Macaca mulatta: one gene and its partners. The protein of the gene in region 1 interacts with the protein of each later gene in a pairwise test. Links are inferred from orthologs where the notes say so. Each region holds a gene or a part of one and is shown on either strand. Other genes may lie near its edges.

What was found.
Region 2: the proteins of HPGDS (region 1) and MELTF interact in binary tests that used the Homo sapiens proteins (3 or more experiments, as listed by UniProt). The two-hybrid records come from large-scale screens. The link is inferred for Macaca mulatta from reciprocal best matches to the Homo sapiens genes HPGDS and MELTF.
Region 3: the proteins of HPGDS (region 1) and ABHD17A interact in binary tests that used the Homo sapiens proteins (3 or more experiments, as listed by UniProt). The two-hybrid records come from large-scale screens. The link is inferred for Macaca mulatta from reciprocal best matches to the Homo sapiens genes HPGDS and ABHD17A.

What each region holds. Positions count from the first base shown.
Region 1 is NC_133410.1:103,670,568-103,678,428, forward strand, and holds part of HPGDS (hematopoietic prostaglandin D synthase), read right to left. Parts: intron 3,539-7,861; 5' UTR 3,530-3,538; coding exon 3,397-3,529; intron 1-3,396. UniProt on the Homo sapiens protein: Bifunctional enzyme which catalyzes both the conversion of PGH2 to PGD2, a prostaglandin involved in smooth muscle contraction/relaxation and a potent inhibitor of platelet aggregation, and the conjugation of glutathione with a wide range of aryl halides and organic isothiocyanates.
Region 2 is NC_133407.1:2,574,639-2,582,499, forward strand, and holds part of MELTF (melanotransferrin), read right to left. Parts: intron 5,968-7,861; coding exon 5,785-5,967; intron 4,622-5,784; coding exon 4,465-4,621; intron 2,965-4,464; coding exon 2,897-2,964; intron 1-2,896. UniProt on the Homo sapiens protein: Involved in iron cellular uptake. Seems to be internalized and then recycled back to the cell membrane. Binds a single atom of iron per subunit. Could also bind zinc.
Region 3 is NC_133424.1:2,594,089-2,601,427, reverse strand, and holds part of ABHD17A (alpha/beta hydrolase domain-containing protein 17A), read left to right. Parts: intron 1-3,310; 5' UTR 3,311-3,548; coding exon 3,549-3,880; intron 3,881-4,996; coding exon 4,997-5,191; intron 5,192-7,339. UniProt on the Homo sapiens protein: Hydrolyzes fatty acids from S-acylated cysteine residues in proteins. Has depalmitoylating activity towards NRAS. Has depalmitoylating activity towards DLG4/PSD95. May have depalmitoylating activity towards MAP6.

The DNA of each region.
Region 1 (7,861 bases):
AACACTCAGCAGTATATGAGTGGTTGAAGTGTGGCTGCTGGGATTGGCCAAGACTCAGCTCTTCTTATAGGTGCATATTCCTAAGTTAGGTTTTAATCTTGTCTACCTATTAAGTTAGGTTACAGTTCATCTACAAGGACTCAAATATAGTCGTACAAAGTCCTTCTCAGGCCATATTTAGTTTGCTATTACAGTGTTCTTGTATAGAATATCTTCTCTTATTTCTCAGGATTTTAAAAAATGTTTGAAGTGGTTTTCTTTCTTGCTAAATCATCTTGGTTTCCTCAGAGTTGCTTTTTTTCTGCTTCTTTGTTTAGGTATGTGTTCTGTTAGATTTTTCTCAAATATCTATTGATTTTTGATTGCCATTTATGTTTTAAAAAGCAAAGAAATAAAAACTACCTGTAAGCTCATCGTGCATGGGAGGGGCTTGCCAACAGATTGGGCTGGGCTGTTTCATTAAGAAACTCTCATTCGTTCATTAGCTTGGGCTGATCAGCTTCCCCAGAGAGAATTTCTCCAATTTCTGCTTGAGGAATATTAGCCTGGATTGTAGAGCAGAAGAAAGGTGCTATGGATCTCACCATTTAGTTTCTAGACTTCCATTGAATCCCACCTTTATTATAAAATTGTGTCCTCAGACATGTCTGTTATCCCAGAAGCCTCTGGTCTATCCTCCCCTGAGAGTAACCTCCATGCTTATTCTAGGGAGGAGAAGGGATATGGTGGTCACAGTGCTTCTTCACATTGATAGAGGCAGGAGGCAGAGAAATTCTAGGTAGACAACAGCAGGTCCCCAGGGAAACCCCACCTTCAAGCCAAAAAGCCTGAAACCTATGACCCAGCATGAGAAAATCTATTCCTGTTTGCCTGCTGTCTCCTGATGGGTTCTTTCTGAATAATGCTTTTTTACCAATTGAATGTTGCCTTTTCCAAAACTACCTATAGCCCACCCCGTCCCACAATCCTCTGCCTATAAATACCCCAGACTCAGTTGGTAGAGGAAAGAGAAGGGGCTCAGCTGGAGAGAGTTGACTTGACTTCAGAGAGATGGCTGGACTTCGGAGGAGAAAGGACTTGACTTCAGGGGAAGACTACCTGCCTACTCTGTCCTCTCTCCAGCTCCCCTCTCTGCTGAGAGCCATTTCCTTCACTTAATAAAATTTTCCGCCTTCACCATCCTTCAAGTGTCTGGACGACATTGTTCTTCTTGGACGCTGGACAACAGCTCAGGACCCACCAAGTACAGGGACCCAAAAAAGGCTGTCACACTGGCCCTTTGCCCTTGCTGGTGGAAGGCAGCTACCCCATGTGACGAGGCAAGAGGCCCACTGAGCTGATACCACTCTGCTGTCCATGGATGGCAGGGCTAAGAGAGCATTGTAACATGCATTCTGGAGCTTCAGGGGTCGCAGGCACCCCAACCTGGGTGCCACTGCACGGCCCGTGCAGAGCTTGCTCCTGCCAGTGCCCAAAGTGCTCAGCTGGATCCCATGCTCGCTCGCTCACATGCTCCCTCCCACAAGGGATTGAGTGCAGTGGGTGAAGTAAATGGGGCACCCCAGCACAAGTCCGACAAAGAGGTCAAGAAAAACTCTCCATCAACATTTTTCCACTCAGTCCTCTGTCAGCGCAACTTTTAGAGTTATCTGCTACTACAAATTCATGAGCCTTTTTCTGTATCTCTGTGATTTAGCTTGCCTTCTCCTCCTCAAGGTTTACGTTTGAACTTTGGGCCTACTAAGTCACCTTACCATTCTTTGGCCTGCTTTTTAGCTTCCAGAATTGTGTGCTATCATATCTACATTCAAGCTTTATTTCTTTGTCCTTATGGACTTCGGCCCTTTTTAGAAGTACTTCAATGTTATTAAAGGAGAGAAAAAGCGTTTTAAAGAGAGAAAATGTAAACTTGTGTGTGCAATTTACCAAGTTTGTCCAGGAGAACATTTTAATACAAGTATCCAATGATGGAATGTGTTGACTGGAGATTTTCTAGGTTCTAGCAGAGAGAGTGTCATAGCAGGTTTCAAGCACCAGAGAGCACTGCTAAATTGGACAGCAGATGAGACCAAATAACATTTGTAATAGAAACTGCTCCTTAGTAGTACCTGTTCTTTCCTTTCTTCTTAGAGTAATAAAACTCTGGATTTTTAGCTATGTAAATGATTATCCACAATTAAATCAGCATCTCTCAATTTTCCTTGAAGTGATATGTGACCATTGGGCTTACCAAGTGACATATGCAACTTTCTAGTCATGCTGTTTAAAGGGAGGTGTCCCCTCCCTCCTTCATACTTTCTCTGAGCTACAATGTGGAAGGAGCATGAGCTATCTCACACTGTGTAAATAAGACACCAAGGGGTGGCAGATCAACAGGAAACCTAATCTTTGACGACTATATGGAGCAAAATCATGATACCCACTTGGGGTTTTGTGTAAATGAAATTTCTATCCTTTTTAAGACAATTTGACATTGTGTCTTTGTCTATTAAAACATCTGAAACTACATTCTAAGCATCATGAACTTTAAGATTCCTTTCCACGCTGAAAATCTATGGAAATATTAAGAAAATAGAGAAATTCCATTTTCAGTAACAATGAAAAGTTCAAGTAGAATAGGGAATGAGGCACTCAGTGAACTTACATCTCAAAGCTAACAGGCAAAATTTGTTACATGTAATATCTGCACCTTTCTATCCATCTTGGTCTAATTAATTCGTGGATAAAAGTAATGTTCACCTATTATATATTCACCATCTTAAAATCCCACGTGCAAATTCTGATATCAGAAGAAACATGTGGATATTAATGGTAAAGTATCGTGATAATAAGAAATAAGATACGCTATCTCACCAGAGAAGAGGCCTCTGCTAAGAAAAAGAATGGTTATAAGGGCAATGACTTTTAAGGAGCTCGTACTTCCAAAGGCTGTGGCAGTTCATGGTTAATAGGCCTGTCATCCTAGTCGTGTTGTTTTGGCATTGTCTAGTGCAAATAGCTTGAGCTTGGTATTAAACTGACCTGGGTTTGAAACTCAGTTCTACTTGCTAGGGTCGTGAAACTGGAAAAATAATCTAAACTCTTTGCACTTCATCTATCTCAGTGACAAAATAGAAAAAAAAAAAAGTCTCATGTTTATTTCAGCTCGTCTTCTCATCTGATAAAGCTTTATACTGGTTTACCTTTATATTCTCTTTCTGTAAGGTTTGTGTTTTCACCTCTAATAGGAAATTTGCTCGATCACACAGCATTTAATTAGTTTGTCTGAACTGCTGCTTCTCAATTTAAAGCTACATGAGCTTCGAAAACCTTGATTTTTTTTTTTTCATTTCCCTGAGGAAAAACAAAAGGTTCTGAAAGCATATTTTTCCTACATTTATTATTTGTGCTACTTACTTGATTTGATTTCAGGCCAGTCAGCTTGTTCTATTCTGTGGTCTTCATACTGTATGTCCAAATAAGCAAATATGTAACGAATAATTTCTGCTCTCCCCCTCATATTAAAATAAGTGAGTTTGTAGTTTGGCATGGTGCAATTCTGGAAAAAGAAAAAGGGAGGGATTATTTTTAGAGCCCTCTAGAGATGTCTCAATACTTTTCTTCAGAATTTTTTGGAAAACTTTATAGCATCTCTTGAGATAACTGGAGACATTAGAGGATATTTCAAAACCAAAATTATAAATCACTATCTAATTACATATGGGGAAACTCGGTTGAAATCAGATCATGAATCTCTCTCTCTCTCGGCACTAGTTAGAACATTACAGTGAAATAACCAAATTCAAACTTTATTTATAAAAATATTCAGATTAAGTGGGTAGCTACACACCAACCTTCAGAGCATGGAGCAAAAAAAACTTCCCACTTTAAGATGATTCTGCCCTGCTTTTAGTCACTGGTAATGCGTAATATTTGATATTTTGCCTGTTTTGTTTGCTCTTGTGACACAGCTCAGAGTTTATGAGGACATCTGGGAAAGGACAGCCAAGGGCTGGGCACACGCAAGAGGAATGTGAGTGCCATGCCAACCTGTCTTTGCCTCTCTTTCCTCACCTGTGGCTTTCCCTCTAGGCATCCAAGGCCTAGGGAAACACTGCTCTCTGGTTCCCTCTGACTGCATCCATGCTACTGGGTTTTACTGGGTTACTTGCACCACAAAACACACCCCATCTCAAGACCTCTGCTGACAATCTTCCTTCATTCCCTCTGTAGAGGAAGAAAGCCAACTATTCTTACATTTCAAAATGTTTGCTAATACCAGCTAATTCAGTCATTATAATCTTATGGGTTTTCAGTGATTTGTATCTTCATTTTCATTGTTTATAAATGGTTAGTGACTTTAAGCACTTGTAGTGGAATATATTTTAATTTTGTAAGATCAAACAACTGAGAGAGAAATGTTTTCATTTGAAATTCAATTCTTTGAATTTGGCCTTTGGCCAGTTAAAATCTCCCTGAATTTCAAAGACCATTTTTGATAAACGGTGATATTAACATGGATTTGTAAATTAATGAGGTAATGCATATAAGGTACATAGCACAATGGCAAACTTAATCATTAGCATTAGTAATGACTTTGATCTCATTCTGTATTCAAGAATAAACACTATGAATACAGCACACTAAAGATAATAATTATGGTAACTAAATGAATGAAAGCATTTAAAGATGATTATTTATTTAAAGTGGTGCGTTTAAATAGTTTATTCCCTACTAAGAAAGTTTTTAAAGAACATTAATGGACTACTAATTAGATAAAAAGGAAAGTTGGGCTCAAGTCTCAAAACAAGGTTTCATCAAAAATCACATCACAGACCAGGCACAGCAGCTCATGTCTGTAATCCCAGCACTTTGGGAGGCTGAGGCAGGAGGATCACCCGAAGCCAGGAGTTCGAGACAAACCTGGCCAACATGGTGAAACCCCGTCTTTACTAAAAGTACAAAAATTGGCCAGGTGTGGTGTTGCGTGCCTGTAAGCCCAGCTACTCAGGAGGCTGGGGCAGGAGAATCGCTTGAACCCCAGAGACAGAGGTTGCAGTGAGCCAAGGTCACGCTACTGCCCTCCAGGCTGGGCAGCAGAGTGAGACTCCATCTCCAAAAATAAAAATAAATCACATCATATAAAAGGTTAAACGCAAATCATAAAAATCCAGGTTGCCAAGTCCTGACTTTAAGTTTATATATTCCTGGAGTCTAGTGGGAAGAGGATGACCTGGAAATAACTGTTTCATTGCATATCTAGAAGCTGCCAGGTTCAGGAAGCGACGGTGATGGTAATTCCTAGCAAAACCATTTTTTCTGGCCCTGGTTTTTGTGTCAGATGTTGTGGAGTGAAGCTAGTGCTCCTTGCTAAAATGAGAGAGGTACTACTGCCAATCATTCCTGCCCAGTTTGCATCAGCCAGTCTAGTCTACACCCAACTGAGGTGTATCACTCACCACATGTATAGATATGTGGGGAAGTCCTTGAAAGAGACAAGAATTGAGTAAACTAATAAGAATTCCATGATCTATAGCCACAAATTTCTTTGGGGGAAAAATATACATATAAAGGAGTTCGAATTTGGGATACTGAATGAAATGCCCATCAGAACAATGGAACTGTTTTCCAGGTTACTTAGAAATGTTGAGCTTAGAAATAAATAATGGAAAAGGTCTAAGAGCACCAAAATAGTTAATAAAAAATGTAATAATTAAGAGATTATTCTTATCCAGGAAAAGCATAATTGTTATAATTCCTGGACCTATTTGTTTTAAACATCAAAACAATTTTTAAAGGCCTACAGAGTGGAAAAAGTGTGGTTATTAGTTGCAGTTTCTATTTAGTGTTTTGTTTCATTTTGTTTGGTTTTGTTGCGGCACAGTCTCACTCAGTCCCCCAGCCTGGAGTGCAGTGGCTCAATCTTGGCTCAATCTTGGCTCACTGAAACCTCTGCCTCCTGGATTCAAGCAATTCTCCAGCCTCAGCCTCCTGAGTAGCTGGGATTACAGGCATACACCATCACGCCTGGCTAATTTTTCTATTTCTAGTACAGACGGGGTTTCACTTATGTTGGCCAGACTGGTCTCAGGTTCGTCTCCCAACCTCAGGTGATGCACCCCCCTTGGCCTCCCAAAGTGCTGGGATTACAGGCATGAGCCACTGTGCCCAGCCTGCAGCTTCTATTTGAAAAGCATTCTATATAAATTTTTTTATTGGTTTTGTTGGCATAGTCAATGTTTCCACAGCATGAAGAAATTATATTTTCTCCTACAACATTAAAAGTTATCAGCATTACACAGGGTGCCATGGCTCACGCCTGTAATCCCAGCACTTTGGGAGGCCAAGGTGGGCAGATCACAAGGTCAGGAGTTTGAGACTAGCTTGACCAAAATGGTAAAACCCCATCTCTACTAAAAATACAGAAATGAGCTGGGGTTGGTGGCAGGCACCTGTAATCCCAGCTACTCAGGAGGCTGAGGCAGGAGAATCACTGAAATCCGGGAGGCAGAGGTTGTAGTGAGCCGAGATCGTGCCATTGCACTCCAGCCTAGGGGACAGGGCAAGACTCCGTCTCAAAAAAAGAAAAAAAAGTTAACAGCATTAAACGTTAAACATACAACCTTTTCTCATTCAATCAACTACCACATAGATATCAGTGTCCACCTGATGAATTCTGCATGAAAACAAAGTGATTGTTTTTTATTGTTGTTAATTTTCAAAATCATGCTGTTTTATATTGTATATGACTCAAGTAAAGAAGACATTTAAAAATTCTCAGCATAGGTTGGCAGTTATCTATATTTCTCTGCAAAAATATCTTGAAGTCTAAGATTTGGCAGAGGCCCAATAGCAGCTAACAAATGCTTATCTTGCCTTTTAAAATATTCTTTCAACAGTTGTAACTCATTAATGAAGCTGTACTTTTTATATGACATTTCTGTAGTTATTTGCATGATTATATTTTCTGTTTGTCTCAGGAATACAAGATGTTATATCAGAACATCCATCTGTATAATAAACTACATTAAAAGAGAAAAACCAGGCCGGGTGCAGTGGCTCACGTCTGTAATCCCAGCACTTTGGGAGGCCGAGACAGGCAGATCACTTGAGGTCAGGAGGTTGAGACCAGCCTGGCCAACATGGTGAAACCCTGTCTCTACAAAAAATGTATACAAATTAGCTGGGTGTGGTGGCATGAGCCTGTAATTCCAGCTACGCAGGTGGCTCAGGCACAAGAATTGCTTGAACCTGGGAGGCAGAGGTTGCAGTGAGCCAAGATCGTGCCACTTTACTCCAGCCTGGGTGACAGAGTGAGACTCTCTCTCTCAAAAAAAAAGAAAGAGAATTATCATAAAACACACTATCATCTCAATAGATACTAAATGCTTTTAAAAAGCATTTGTAACATTATCACTCATTTGTGATCAAAACTCAGCAAAATGAAAAAAACAACAAAATAAAATACCTGTTAGCAAACTAGTAATAGAATACTTCCTTAACCGTATAAAGAGTCTCTACTGAAAACTTACAGCAAACATACATAATGGTGAAGCAATAAAAGCATTTTCTTTAATGTCAGGAATAACAAGAATCCCACTATAACATCTACTATTCAGCATAATGCTGGACAGCCTAGCTAATTCAATAATGTAAGACAATAATAAATAACATTTGTAAGTAGTAGGAAGGGAGCAACACAGCTATCCATTTGCAATCAAAATGATTGTCTATATTTAAAATTCAAGAGATTCTACAGATAAACTGGATCCTAGACTTCAAATGGAAATGCTAAGGACCAAAATAGCCAGGACAAACAAAAAAAGAGAACAGAAGAGGAAGACCTGATGTACCAGAGAGCAAGACTTAGATAAAAGCCTTG
Region 2 (7,861 bases), on another chromosome or scaffold:
TGATCTCGGCTCACTGCAAGCTCTGCCTGCTGGGTTCAAGTGATTCTTCTGCCTCAGCCTCCCGAGTAGCTGGGACCACAGGCGCCGCCACCACGCCCGGCTAATTTTTGCATTTTTAGTAGAGACGGGGTTTCACCATGTTGGCCAGGCTGGTCTCAAACTCCTGACCTCGTGATCAGCCAGCCTCGGCCTCCCAAAGTGCTGGGATTACAGGTGTGAGCCACCGTGCCCAGCCCCCTTTTGACCACTTTTAACCTGGCTAAGGACATAGTTGACAGGCAATTTTGCATCCTACTTGGCAAAGTATTTTTCCACAGTATTGGAAACTTTCCATAAATTCATTTGTTTCTCAATAGAAAAGAAAATTTGCAAGAGTAACTATTAACACCAACTAGGGATACTGAGAAGATGAATATTAAGGACTATAATTAAACCACAGATGGTCCCACAGAACAATATTTTTATGACTTTAAGACAAGGAGGGAAAAAACCTCTACAAGGAAATAGGAAGAGAAAAGATAATTTGTATGGTCACGAAAGTTTTCATTGCAAAGCTATTTTAAAACAAAACCAAAAAACCCACACCAGAGTAACAGTTTGGAAAACTCCATAAAGGTCATTTTTAATGGCCACATGGTACTTGACAGCACTCTTAATGACTCAGTGCAGTTCTCCCCCCTCCACTTCCCAACTTTTCTCTGTTTTTAGGCTGCTGCAAAGCCTTTGGTTAGAGCTCTGGGGCATCCTTTGCCTTCCCACAGACAAATGCATCATTCAGGTACTTCCATCAGCCACTTCCACTTCTCAAAGCCAAGAACAATGAAAGTCCTGTCACTTCCCTGCTCTAGACATTTATGCCACTTGTACCCTTTTGCTCTTACCAATCTTTTTATATCAAGTCACTTAAAAAAATTACTGCCTTAGATTGCCTTAGATTACCGTCAAAACTTTGAAAAAGCTGCCAGGTGCATGCCTGTAATCCCAGCTACTCAGGAGGCTGGGATGCGAGGATCAATTGAGGCTGGGGGTTTGAGACCAGCCTGAGCAACATGGTGAGACCCCATCTCAAAAACAAAAAAAACAAAAAAACCAAAAAACCCAAGTCTGAAAAAGCTGATTTTTAACCCAACATATCCCTGCTCTTTGCCCATTTTCCAAATTCTCCTTTGTCGAACTCGTCTTGGGGCCTGTGAACAGGAGCCCCTTTCCAGGCTTGCCCAGCACGAGAGTGCATCATCTTACACGCTTCCTCGTGTGCAGGCCACTTGTTTTCCTCCTTCTCGGATCTGGTCCATGTTTGCCTTCATGATGGACTTTCTGATTTAAAAGGCAACGATTGATAACAGTAAAGAATGATAATGACTTAAAAAAACCCCAATCATCAGATGTCCTGGGAGAGGCCAAACTGCAGACAGAACAGTGTGTTTGCTCCTTGCTGGCAGGTGCAGGGGGATAACCAGCAGGGCCTGAGGAACTCCTGGGCTGAAGCATCTGCCCCATCCAGATCTCGATTCTGGTGGTGGTTATACAACTGTATGGATTTGGCAAAACTCATAGAACTATACTTCAAAAAGAACAAATTTTGCTGCATGTAAATTTTATCTCAATTTAAAAAAAGAAACAATCTTCAGGCAAATCTAAATTGAGGGACATTCTATAAAATAACTGGCCTGATGCTTCAAAATGCCAATGTCATAAAAAACAAAGACTGAGAAACTGTTCCAAGATAAAGGAAACTAAAGAGATCTAACAACTAAACCCCAAACGTGGTAAAAGATTCAGTCCTGGTCTGAAAAAAATGGGTATGAAGGATAGAATTGGGATGGTGAGTGAATCTGCAATATTGATTATAGATTGGATAACAGGATTGGATCAAAGTTGCATTTCCTGATTTTGATTACTGTGGCTAGGTACACATCTCCTTGCCTTAGGAGATACATAGTAAAGTATTTAAGGGGTATGACATAGGCAAATATACTCTCAAATGGGTCAGAACACACACACACACAAATCAAATGTGGAAAAATGCTAAACAGTTAGAATTTGGGTGAAGAAGAGAAGGCAGCTCTTTGAGTTATTCTTGTAACTTTTCCAAAGCTCAGTTCTTTCAAGATTAAAAAACTTAAGTGACATGATGGCTTAATATATAACATCAATCTTTTTTTGTTTTTTATTTTTTTAGACAGAGTCTCGCTCTGTCACCAGGCTGGAGTGCAATGGCACAATCTCAACACACTGCAAGCTCCGCCTTCCGGGTTCAAGCAATTCCCCTGCCTCAGCCTCCCGAGTAGCTAGGATTACAAGCAACCACCACCATGCCCAGCTAGTTTTTTGTATTTTAGTAGAGACAGGATTTCGCCATGTTGGCCAGGATGGTCTTGATCTCCTGACCTCGTGATCTGCCCACCTCGGCCTCCCAAAGTGCTGGGATTACAGACATGAGCCAGCGTGCCCCACCTCAACACCAACCTATATTTTAAACCTACCTAGGGATGAGGGACAGATTCTCCAGGCAAGAGGAGAAAAATGCCAGGAAGGGCTGGTAGGTGAGATCCAGTGGAGAGGTTTGCAAATTCTTTAAAAAATCAGACCCCCATCTTCAGGTGGAACCAGAACCCAATGCCATATTCAGATCAGAGCAGAGCAGAGCTGCTCGCTGGCCCCCTTCTCCTGCCCTGTGAGCAGTGGGCACTCCCCCGGTGACACTTGCCTCTGCTCTTTTGCAGCTGGGAGTGCTGAGGCTCAGAGACTATGGGACTTATCCAAGATCACCCAGAGACTCAGAGCAGCACTGAACTAGGGTGTTTGATCCCAACTCTGCCATCTAGGTGCCCTGCCCCAGGCCGGCCTGGCCTGGCACGCTGCTTTTCTGGGCCCGTGCCCTGCCCCCACTCACCATCCGTGTTCTCCAGTACCGTGCTGTGCTTCACAAAGGCCACGTCCCCTGCCCCTTCCACCAGGCACCTGTGGAGAAGCTGTGGGTCTGGATGGGCTGAGCCCCTGGCCCCTGCCCATCTTCCACCTCTGGAGGCCTGGCTCGGGCTGTAGGGGTGGCCATGATCGGCATGGGCTTTCCAGTCATGTGGTCTGGGTTCCAGCTCCCTGGCTGGTTGTCTGTGTGGCTTTGCGGCTTTGCTGAGTTGTGGCCCCTTCCTAGTCCCTATCACCTGTAAAGCGGGGGCGGGAAAGCAGCTCCATCGGGCTGCTCTGAGGATGAGAGGCTCTTTATAACCCAGTACAGACCCTCTCCAGCCTGGCTCAGGCCTGTAGGGAGCAGGCACTCCCAGGGCAGCTGCTGTTATAATACCAGCAGCCTTGACTCTCAGGGTGTTGGTTTTGGTTATTTTGTTTTTAGAGATAAGGTCTCGCCGTGTCGCCCAGGCTGGGGTGCACTGGCACAATCATAGCTCATGGCAGCTTTGACCTCTTGGGCTCAAGTGATCATCCTGCCTCTGCCTCCAAAGTAGCTGGGAGGACAGGTGTGTGCCACCATGTTGGGCTAATTTTCAGGGTGTTTTGAAAAGCATTCTACCCTGAGGCAGGGGATTGGACTAGAAGGCCTTTTCATGCCATGCCGCAGGATCCTGAGTGTGAGGGACCATTGACTCGTACATGTTCTGTTGATGTCACTGCCTCGTGTTGGAGGCAGGTGAGACCTGCTGGGCAAAGAGGCTGCTTAGGTCCCCACAGGCAGAAAACACGCAGGGATTAGAGCAGGTCGGGGAGGACGACATCAGGAGAGGGCTCTGAGGCTCCAGGAGAGTCAGAGAGAATGCGTGCGTGGCCAAGGACGCGGGGCAGGGGAGGGGCAAGGCTCTGCCGCTCAGAGGGGCTGAGTACTGTTTCCTCTCTCTATGCCAAAAACTGCATCCACTCAGATCACATCTGGAGCGTGGGACACCAGCAGGCTTCCCCGCTCCAGGTGGAAACGTGAGGCAGCTAGAGGAGCCCCAGAAGCTTCCTTCCAGTCCTGCTCAGCACGTTTCCTCCTCTGCAGGCAGACGGAATTGGACCACGAACTGTTAGAGACTCTCTTGTATCCACGGAAGGATTACCCAAGGTGCCAGCCCCAACCAGCAGCAGAGACAGGCCGGCCCCAAGTGTCAAGCCACAGTCCCCCAACCCCCTGTCCCTGCTGGTCTGAGAACAGGGACATGGGAGTGGTCAAAAGGCTGTTTTTTCCATTTTCTTCTCTCCGAGCCCTCACCTCACTAAATATACCAAACATGTTGATTTTATGAGCAAATCCAGTTTGGCATATTCCGGTTGGATGTTTTTAAACTAACCAGGGCACAGAACTATATAAAGCGCGCTTTGATGAGAGGCAGCCAACACCGCCACTTCCCCTCCACGGCCTCTCTGGGCAAAGGTGCTTTTCCCCAGCATCCGTGGCCGTAGCGCCTCCGCCCGCCCGCACGACTCAGCTCCTCCCCGCCCGGCCCTCCCCACCCCCGCTCCGCTCACCGGAAGGCCCCGCTGTAGTCGTAGTATCTCTCCAGGGGGCTCTTGTCACACACCCCTTCCCCAGAGCTGTCACCCCTGCAGAGGCGACAGAGGGACTCAGAGTAACGGGTCTCTCCTGCCCCCGGGACGCAGCTGCCCCCAAAATAGTCGCTGACAGCTGTGGGAAGGAGGCAGAGAGGTCACTCAGAACTTTCTTCAGAGCCAAGTTAAAACCCCAGGGTCAGCGGGGGGCCGGGCCCTGCAGGGTCTCATCTGGACTCTGCTGAGAACGGTTCCACCTTCCAGCTTCAGTCTGAGCAAAACTGGGGAGCCGGACCCCGGACCCGATCCGTGACCCCAAACCGGGTCCCCCAAGGGAGCAGTGAGCACTGGGGAGCGACTGTCATTTAAAAGTGGTTTCGGGGGAACTACAAGTTTCCTCCTAAATGACCACACGGGATAACTAAGCATCAACTAGATGCTCTTCTCATCGTGGCTTTCATTTCCAACTCAGCGAGGTGTGACTGACGACAGAGGGGAAATAAAGACAGACACTTCTCACAGCACAGGGAGGGAGGCAAACGCCCGGCGGCTGGCCTCGTGGGGGACGAGGTCAGGGTCTGCTGCCCTGCATGGTTCTTCAGGCCCGGCCGGCACCAAAACTCACAAATATTTATCCTGTGCCACACGAGAAGGCCCTGCTGCCGGCACCCAAGCCCATCGGGCCACACTCATCACCAGCCAGACTGAGCTTTTCCAGAGTAAGCCCTCTTCCTAGTCTTCTTTTTGTGACCTCCCAGAGGATAGGTGTGTAATAAATATGCCAAGTTCCTGGCGAGCCACCCACGCCTGGCCACCAGCTGGGAGGGTGCGGCTTCCAGGCTCTCGTGGGTTTACACGGCTGGTTGGGCTGATGAGCCACTTGGGGGCTTTCTGGGTGCAAGTCAACACCTTGTTTGGGTCCTGAAAAAACAGCATTTCTGGTCCTGTAAAGCTGAGGACACATTTCTAGACAGCGTGGGAAGCACTCCTGGGGGATTCACTGCCTCCCACTCATGGGCTGGGCCTGGGCCTGACCGTCATGTGGGGCACCGTGAGGGGTGAGCAAGAATGGTGCCCACAGGGGCCAAGCAAGCAGGAAGTCACGTGGCGGCGCGCAGGGCCGGCGGCAGAGTGGACGGTGCGGGGAGGCGGAGGAGGTTGCTACGCCTTCCAGGGATGAAGAATGGCGGTGAGGCTGGAGGGAGGCTGCCCAGTGAAGGGACAAGCATGGAAAGGAAAGCATCCCAAGGAAAGGAGCGGGAGGCCTGGGGACCCTCCTGCCCAGCCCAAAGCCCTTACCTTTGAGTACATCGCAGCCCATCACCGAGAGGCGGCCGCTCTCCACCAGGTAGCCCACGGGCACGTTCCAGCCCACTGTGCGATTGATGCCCGTGTGGCAGGACTTCACGCCTTTCAGGGTGTTGATGGTCACTTGGGAGCTCCTCTTGACCACAGCCACGGCGTAATAGGAGGTGCCAACCTCTAGGAGGGGAGGGGAGCGGGTGAGGGCAGCAGGGAGAGGCCTCAAGGGAGGCTGCACCAGCACCCTGCCGAGGCCGGCTGTGGGAGAGGTGTGTGCACGGAGCATGGCTGTACATCATGGATGTGTGCATAGCATTCTCGTTACCAAGACAGCAAGTGGGCTTAATCCACATGTACTACGAGACCCTGCCCTCTAGCCTCTTGAGGTAGATACGATCCTGAGATACTGATGTATTCACTGAGATCCCCCTCTTCCTAAGCAGCTGGTGCTTAGCTGGTTCACATTTGCTCACATCAGGGGAGTTATTTAGCTGGACAGAAAGCAGAAGAAGCCAGCAAGTCCTTGCTTTCCAAAAGCCTAGGCCCCTAGGAGAACTTGGAGGGTTTGAGGGAACGGTATCAGGGCCATGGGAAGAAGGGTGGCTAGGACGAGCAGGGGAGCAGGCGAGAGGCTTCCCCAGATGAGGAGAGGCGATTTCCTGGTGCTGAGGGGGTTGGAGGAGAGTGAGACGAGGCAGAGACAGAGAGACAGAGACACCTAGCAACGTGGTCCCAAGTCACTCACCACCCTCAAGGCTGCAGGGTGCGTGTGGTGGGCCAGGGCTCTGCAGCCTTGTGAAATGTTCCCCTGCGCCAAGGTGGCTCCAAGGGGCAGTTCAGGCAAAACACAGACGACGCCGCTATGGGAACTGATGACCAGAGGGTCTCCCACTGCACGAGCGCACACACACAGGCATACACGCACGCACAAACTGCCGGGTGGTGTGGGAGGCCATATCAGAACGAAGTTGGGTTCTAGAACATAAAGTCAGTGTTCCTTCTTGCGCACCAGGGTCTGCCCCCACCAACCTAAGTAGCTTCATCTGGTGCCATCCTCTGACTCACCCACCTTGTTTCTTTCCCATTCCCTGGACCGCCTGAGATCGTTGCGGGGCTCAGCTTGCCCGTCGCCTCCGCAGAGCACCGTCCTGCCTGCTCTATTTCAGTGGGTTTCTCCGCAACCCTCGTTTGCTCTGTCCTGCCCTTTCCTTTTCCTCACGGCACCCCCACATGTGTCACTGAAGAGTTGTGTGTGTTTGTTCCTTTTCCTCACAGCACCCCCACACGTGTCACTGTAGAGTTGTGTGTGTTTACTCTGCTCTGTGAGAGCAGCAAGGTCTCTTTGTTTACGGCTCCATGCTCAGACCAGCGGGTGGCAGGTGCTTAGCAGAGGTATGGAGTTAATTAAAGAGGAAGAGGTGCGGGGCCTGGGAGCAGAGCTAGTTCTGGCTGATGGGTGTGCAGGGTTGGACTGTGCTGTGTGTCATTGGATGGTCATTAATTCAACAAGGAACCGGCCAGTGCTTTCTCCAAGCGAGACGCTGTGTGGAGTTCCAGAGGATAGACGCAGGGGAAGACTGGACCCTCCTCTGGGGACTAACGAGACTGAGCAGGCAGAGGCTTGCAGAGGCCGTGGGGGTGCAGGCAAGAGGCCCCGCTCCAGGGAGGGATGGGCTCAGGGAGCACCTTGGAGGAGGTGACAGTTGCGCTGGACTGTGATGGAGGCCAGGCGCCGGCCAAGCAGAGGTGATGGGGGAGACGCAGGAGCAGGCTGAGCTGGAGGCAGGTCCCGTGTGTGATGCGGGCACTGGGCAAAGGAACTCACGCTTTCCAGCACGTACCACATCAGGTGGACACACGGCCTGGCTCATTTAGTCTGGGTGACAGTGCAGGTGTTACTATCCCCATTTTACAGTCCGGGAAGTGGCGGTTGACCAAGGTCACAGAAGTCATGGGAAGGGGAAGCGCTGGGTCTGTTGAGCTGTGCGGCTGCCAGGCAGCACCTCCCTACCCAGAGCCAAGCTTCTGACAGGGAGGCCCTGAGTGTGCAGGTGGCTCGGCATGAAGGACACCT
Region 3 (7,339 bases), on another chromosome or scaffold:
GCCCCTGCCTTCGGGGATCGCCTTTCCGAGCCGTGGACTCCGCTCTTTTACCCCGAAACTGCCCCCAGCCCTACAACCGCTTCGTCCTCTGGGCCCCCCTGGCAGCTCCCAGGGGCCCTGCCGAGCCCCGCTTCCCAAGCAGCTCCCAGTTGCTGTTTCTCTTGTCAGGCGTCTTCCTGCCGCCTTGACTCCTGGGCAGGCTTCCCGGCCTCCGCTCGCGTCCGTTCTCCGGGATGCAGCCCTTCTCCTGTGTTGTCCATCCACTGCTCGGGACTTCTCCGTGGCCCCGCCATTTCTCCCAAGATGAAGTGCAAACTCCGCAGCAGGGCTCTCGGGGGCGCGACCTCACCCGTCCCAGACTCTCTTGGGACCCATCTGCTCACTTCTTCCTCCCAGGGTCTGCTCTAGCCAGGAGTCTGCTCTGTCACCTCTGAGGTTTTGCCCCTGCTTGTCCCTCTGTCCCATCCCCTGTCACCTGGCCCGTTTATCTGCCCTGTGATATGGCCGCACCTCCCCCCAGGCGGGATTCCCACCCTGACTGGTTGAGTGAGGTGCCGTCATCGTCTCCCATATGTAGGTCATCTTCCAGTATTTTGGCTGCTTGGTTGCTTACTGGTCCTCAAAACACCTCTAGCTCGCAGAGGGGTGCCCAGTTATGTGCTTGGGAACGGAATTGATGGGATTCAGGGTGTCAAGGGTGTGTGCTCAGTCAGTGAAGCGTCCGGGTTTGCACTCCGCAGTCCATGCCCATTAATGACACTAGGGAGGTTCCAGGTACCTGTGGCTGGAGAGGAGAGGAGACTAGACTTTCCCTGTCAAAGCTGTCGGACCTTGGGGATTCTTTTCCTCCTGTGTTTCCTCCCTAATTCTTTGCTGCTTACCACCTGCCCATTCCTTTAGTGAGTGGCAGGTCATGGTCCTGCTCTCATGGAGTTTCTGGTTTGGGGGTGGGGGGAGATCTGGCCGAATGTGTGAAAAATACAAGCTGTGGAAAGAGCGTATAAGGGGTCCTGTCCCAGCTTTGAGGACTCTGAGAGCGTTGTTGGCAGCAAGGTGCAAAGGGTGGTTGGGATGGGCAAGGCTATTTAGTGAGGTTGGGGAAGGGAGTTCCCGGCAGGGGAGCAGAGGCAGGAAGGAGCAATGTGGCTTGTCTTAGGAGAGCCAGGGGTGGCAGGGTGTGAGATGAGTGAGTCTGGAGAGGTTGGCCTGAGCCGGAATGCAGACCTGGCAGTCTGTGGGGAGGACTTTGATCTCTATCCAGAGAATAATGGGAGGCCCCCAGGACACCCCAAGAGGGAAGTGCCACCATTGCATTTGTGTCTTGAACAATTGTTTGGCTGTTGGGGGAGAATGTCCTGGAGCAGGTGATCAGCAAGGAGCGAGGCTGTTGCTGTAGCTCTGGTGAAAGGTGATGGAGGCGGGGACCGGGCGGTGGCTGATGGGAGACAGGCAGAGCCACTGGGCTGGTGATGGACTGGCTCAGATCCAGTGGGTGGAAGGAGGTGTCAAGGATAGCATCTTTGTTTCTGGCGTGGTTAATGGGGCCCTGGCCACCTCGGTGTGCCCCTTGGTCTCTGGGGTCTCCAGGGGCCTGCTACTGCCCACTGGGCTCTCAGGACCCAGCTGCATGATGCCACCTAAACTGCAGGGCCCTCCAAGCCCCCGGCACCAGCAGGGCAGCACCGATAGGGCCCGGACCTCTTTGAGAATATGTTGAAAAGCTGACATCAACCTCAATGCTGTGGATGTTGGGCCTGATCATTCTTTGGGGTGGGTCTGTCCTGGGCACTGCAGCGTGCTAAGCAGCCTCCACCCAGTCCCCAGTGGCGACACCCAAAACTGTCTCCAGACATTGACAGGTGTCCCCGGGGGGAAGATTTGCCTCCATCTGAGAAGCAGAACCAGTATGACAGTCCGCCTCCCCCCTGAGAAGTGCTTGCCTGTGAGATTTGCCTCCCGCCTGGGAGTCTGGGGGACGCTGTGATGCCATCCTTGCCCCACCCTGGCTTTCAGAGCTCTCTCCTCTCCTCCTTGTGTGCCCGTGAGGCCGGCTCACGGGCACGTGTGGGTCTCACACAGGTCTTGAGGGAGCAGGTGTGTTTCTGGGCCTGAGGCTGCTCCTTGGTGGTGAGGGTGTCCCCACGAGCCGTGTCTGTGGCGCCTGCAGCCGCCTGCGTGTCCATCTGTGTCCACATCTGCCTTTGAGCCTCATCTTCCTGGCCCCACGGTTTTCTCGTGCTGTGACCCAAAAGCCCAGCATTCCAGGGTGTTCTGCTGCTGAAATTGAGTTGTGAGCGTGTCTCCCTCCTCGCTCCCGTCTGAAGGAGAAGCGTGGTCGGTAGATAGACGCCTCAGACCTTTGTGTTTTCTTCACGTCTGTCTGTTGGCAGCTCCTTACACTATTGTGCTTGCTTTAGCAACTTAGCTGTTGTCGACTTAATGCGTTTCATGACGTTCTGCAGCAAGGAAGAAGGTCCGAGTTTCCACTCTGAATCAGGCGCCTTCGCTCCCCTCCCCCCTCACTTGACTTCCTGTGGGGTATGTGGTGTCTGCGCCTATAGATGAGGACACTGAGGCCTCAGGAGGGCAAGTGACTTGCCAAAGGTCACGGAACCCTAAATCAGCTCTGGAGAAGGACCCCCTGACCCCAGCCCGCCTCCCCTGCCCCTCAGCAGGCCTGGCCCCAGCACAGAGAAGAGCCATTGTCGCAGCTCTCAGGGCCCTGGGAGCCTGGGATGTATCCTGCCTTTGTTTCTAGAGCCTTTGTTATATTTCCTCTGTCTCCAGACATCGCAGGCCGGTGGGGCCTGGCCCCTGTGCGCGCTCACGTAGCGGGGCCTGTTCAGGTCCCTCCTCAGTCCCTTGAGTCCGAGCTCTGTCCTTGCCTCAGCGGCCCATCACCCGTAGGGTGGCAGAGATGGGCTGGGGAGGGAGTGGGCAGCAGTGCGGACCGAGTCCTGGTGCATGGGGTTTCCCTGGTGCTGGAGCCCACGTTTGGGGGGTGGGCGGGGCTGGGGTCATATCCCCTGCGTGCCCTGCATGCCCAGGCTGTGCTCACATGGCAAGAGGTGGTGATCGCCAGCTGAGGGAGGGTGGGGGGTCCTTCATCCCGTGGAGAGGGGGCTGAATTGGGGTTCCCTGAGCTGTAGGGTGCAGTGCCTGACAGGCCGCGGGGAGGGCTGAGGGGATGGGATGGACAGGCCCTGGGCCCATGCCGCCCCCTGGCACGGGTGGATGCCCCACCTACCGGGGGTGCCCAGCTGGACCATGGCACCCCCAAAGGACCCCACATGCCACTGTTCCCCCGCAGGGCTTCCCACGGCACGACATGGAGACCTGTGGTCGCAAGGCTCCCTGGGGCTCGGCTTGGACCGCGATGGGGCTGGGCCCTGGCCTCCTAACGGGGCTCCTGTCTGGGGCGGTAGCTGGGGGGGCGCCCTCCCCCCTGCCCGCAACTCGGAGCACCCCCACCCCTCCCCTGCTGGGCCAGGCCGGGTGGCGTTGTTGGCGGGGGCCCCGGTGGAGGCCCGGCCCGGGCGGCGCCCGCCATGAACGGGCTGTCGCTGAGTGAGCTCTGCTGCCTCTTCTGCTGCCCGCCCTGCCCCGGCCGCATCGCTGCCAAGCTCGCCTTCCTGCCGCCAGAGGCCACCTACTCCCTGGTGCCTGAACCCGAGTCAGGGCCTGGTGGGGCCGGGGCCGCCCCCTTGGGGACCCTGCGGGCCTCCTCGGGTGCACCCGGGCGCTGGAAGCTGCACCTGACGGAGCGTGCCGACTTCCAGTACAGCCAGCGCGAGCTGGACACCATCGAGGTCTTCCCCACGAAGAGCGCCCGCGGCAACCGTGTCTCCTGCATGTATGTTCGCTGCGTGCCTGGTGCCAGGTGAGCAGCTGTGGCCGCGCCCGGGCTGGGTCACCCTGTTCTTGGGGCTCCCGTTTCTGCCCCGGGTGCTTGGTGTGGTTGGTGGTGCCCCAGAGGGCCTGAGCCTGCTGTGAAGGGCCATCCAGCTGGCATGGGTGGTGTCCCCGGCCGGGCTGGCCTCATCCCTCCAGCGATTTCCTCTCGCAGACAAGGATACCAGGCTCAGGGAGGCCATCCCCAGCTGGCATAGTTGGGCAGGCCGGGCGACTCCAGCGACCCAGCCCCTGGTGGTTGCCTGCTGGGGTGGGGCACAGGGGCCGCCCTGACCTACATCCGCCTTCTTGCCAGGTGGGGTTCTGACCAGATCTGAGTCCAGAGGGCGAGCCTTTACCTTCTGGCTGGGCTGGGCAGGGTCCTGGGGGAACTGGAGGAAGCAGTCCATGGTAGGGCCAGCCTGGCCGCCTGCTCCTGGCACCACCTGGGGCAGCTCCCGTGCTGGGAAGCAGACAGGCCTTGCAGCACGGGCTCGGGGCTTGGGCAGGGTGGCGGGGCAGGAGGGGCTGCGTGAATGTGAGCAGGGATTGGGCGCATTTGCTTGTTGGGGGCAGGGGTGGGGTCCAGTTGTTCCCAACAGTGAGGGCACCATTCTGTGAGGGGAGGGCAGATAGCCCTGCCAGCAGCAGCACGGTCTTCCCTGGGAAGGTCCTGAAAGGTGGGCCTGTGTGCTCCATCCCCGGGGGTCCCGGCTCTTCCAGGAGGAAGGGCTGCAGGGCAGCGAGACCTGCAGCATCCGGGCACACACTGCGCGTCTGCCCAGAGAGAGGATGTGACCAATGGTCCCAGTGTCCCGCTTCACAGATGGGAGTCCTGAGGCTCCCTGGCTGGCCTCTCTGCAGCCCAGGCTGCCTGTACCCCTGCCGGCTCTCCTGTTCTCTCCCCATGGGGAACCCCTGGAGATGGAGCTGTGCTGTCGTAGCCTCCCCTGTCCATTCGCTGGCTTCGGGCCCCCTTGGGAGGGGAGTAAACAAGGCGCTGGGCATGGCTGGCCACCGGGGTGGGCTGTCAGTACGCGTCCTCCTGCCCTGCAGCTGGGCGCTGGGAATGAGGATGTGAATGGCCCTTCCCGGCCTGCCCCAGGTACACGGTCCTCTTCTCACACGGCAACGCCGTGGACCTGGGCCAGATGAGCAGCTTCTACATTGGCCTGGGCTCCCGCCTCCATTGCAACATCTTCTCCTATGACTACTCTGGCTACGGTGCCAGCTCGGGCAGGCCGTCCGAGAGGAACCTCTATGCTGACATTGACGCCGCTTGGCAGGCCCTGCGCACCAGGTGAGGGCAGCCCTGGAGGCAGCTCAGCCTGGGCACACGCGAGAGGGGACTGGGCCGGGGGGGCGGGCTTCCCTGGGAGGAAGGTGGGTGGCCCTGCAGCAGGGGAGCCACAGTGGACGCACAGGGCCAGAGAGCCAGACAGGCGAGCTCGGGTGTGTGGGTGCCGCCTCCATGTGGCCGAGGTGTGGCCAGGCGGTCCTCCCACACCCTGGCCTGTGGAGCCAGGCTTCCTGGGAGCCCCTGGCCTGAAGATGGGAAGGGGCTGAGCTTGTCACAGGGGCGTGGATGCCACCTGGCGGGAGGGGTTCGTGGTGTTTGGGGGTCTGCACATGTGGCTGGGAGCCCATCGGCTGAGGCAGCACTTGGGGCCAGGTGCGGCGAGGCTGCTGCATCCAGGTCCCGAGGCCTGGCCCATGAGGCCCTGTGGCTGTGGAGCTCGGCGGTCCCAGGGCAGGGTCAAGGTCTGGGCCAGCCTCGATTCCAGATCCAGCCCTCCTGGCTATCCAGGTCCCCAGCCCTGCGCTTGCCTGGGCTCTTCACCGGTGTTTGAACACTGCCCAGGCTGGTGCTGCTTTCGACGAGGAGACCCGGGTGGGCCTCTGGAGGCCTTTCCTGCTCACCACCCACTGGGGCTGTCTCGTCCTGGCCCTGCCCAGCCCACTGGTCTGACCCACTCCCGCAGGGACCAGGCGCAGCTCTGAGAAGTCAGAGGCCCTGGGGAGGTGGGGTCCTCATTGCCTTGGCGATATCCCAGGCAGTCCCTGCTGTGGGCCTGGGAGCTGGGTACCCTGGCACCACCCTGGCTCTGGGGGCCTCCCGGCAGTGTGGGGCACTGACACCGACCACCGCTTCATGCGGCTTCCTCGGCCTCTCCTGTCTACTGCCCGGGGCACTGGCAGAGTCACACCTGCCATGGCCAGCTCTGAGCTCTGTCTGCTCGGCCGTCTGTCCTGTGCTGCCTGCAGGAACTTAGGCCCAGAGCTGTGAGGGGGAGGCCAGAGTATGCCCAGGGCCTCCACTGGGGATGTGTTCTGTTGTTTGAGTGGTGACATCCAGGTGGCAGCTGGGGTCTCCTGCCTGGAGCAGGTGACGGCTGGGCTGACTCAGCACACTACTGGCCATGGCTGCTAGGGAGCAGGCCAGGGAGGCTGGGGCAGAGCTGGGGCCGCAGGCACAAGTCAGGCAGCACCCTTTGGGGCATGGGTGAGTGCTGAGCTGGAGTACTGCCAGGAGACTGGGGTTCCAGGCCAGGGACAGGGACAGGCTTGCTGGTGGAGTCCGAATGCCAGGCAGACGGGACGCACACCTGCCCATGCTCCTGCCTCGCAGGAGGGCAGCTGCCTGGAATCAGAGCCTGGAGCGTGTTGGGGGGAGAGTTGTGGGGTCCCGGCATGGGCAGGGTGGCAGGCGGGTCCCGCATGGTTGGGACTGGGGACGAGGAGGCCTTGGAACTGGTGCTGGATCAGCTGGGCCAGGGGCCGCACACCAGTGACCTGGGGGTGGGGGTGGCCCTGGGTGGGAGCTGGTGGTGCTGAGGTGGCCAAGGACTTGTCCACTCCCAAGGGAAGGTGCTGGTGGGTGGAGGTGCCACCCCCGCAGCCACCACCCTTGATGCTCACCTGGGTTGCACTGGCACCTCACTGGGTGTGGGGACTCTGAGAGTCCAAAATTGGGTGGAGACATCTGGGGACACAGCTGCCTGAATTCCTCATGGCCAAGGGGGTGGGCAAGGGCTGCAGGGAGGAAGAGTATCCCCTGTCCGGGCCAGTGCACTAGGAACGGCTTTCTAACCCGGGCAGGAAAGCGTGAAACATTCAGGATATGGGGGGCACACACTTCCCAGTGTGCGCCTAGGGGTGACCAGGAGGAGGAGAGGCGCCAGGGCCTCCCCTACCCCAGCCCCAGGGTCACTCCGTAGTCGGGATCCCTGCAGATCCTGGCGAGGAAACGCCAGTGAATGGCAGCGCCAGGGAATGGGGCGGGGCCGCTGGCTCCGCCCACCGCTGCGGTGATTGGGGGCTGGGGGAGGCCCTCGGGACTGGTGTGGAGCGTGGGCCTGACCCACTGACTTGGCTGAGCGGGGAGACTGGAGGGTCGCATCCGGAGCTGGGCCGGGGGACGCCCGCCGGCGGGAAGGGTGCGCGCGCG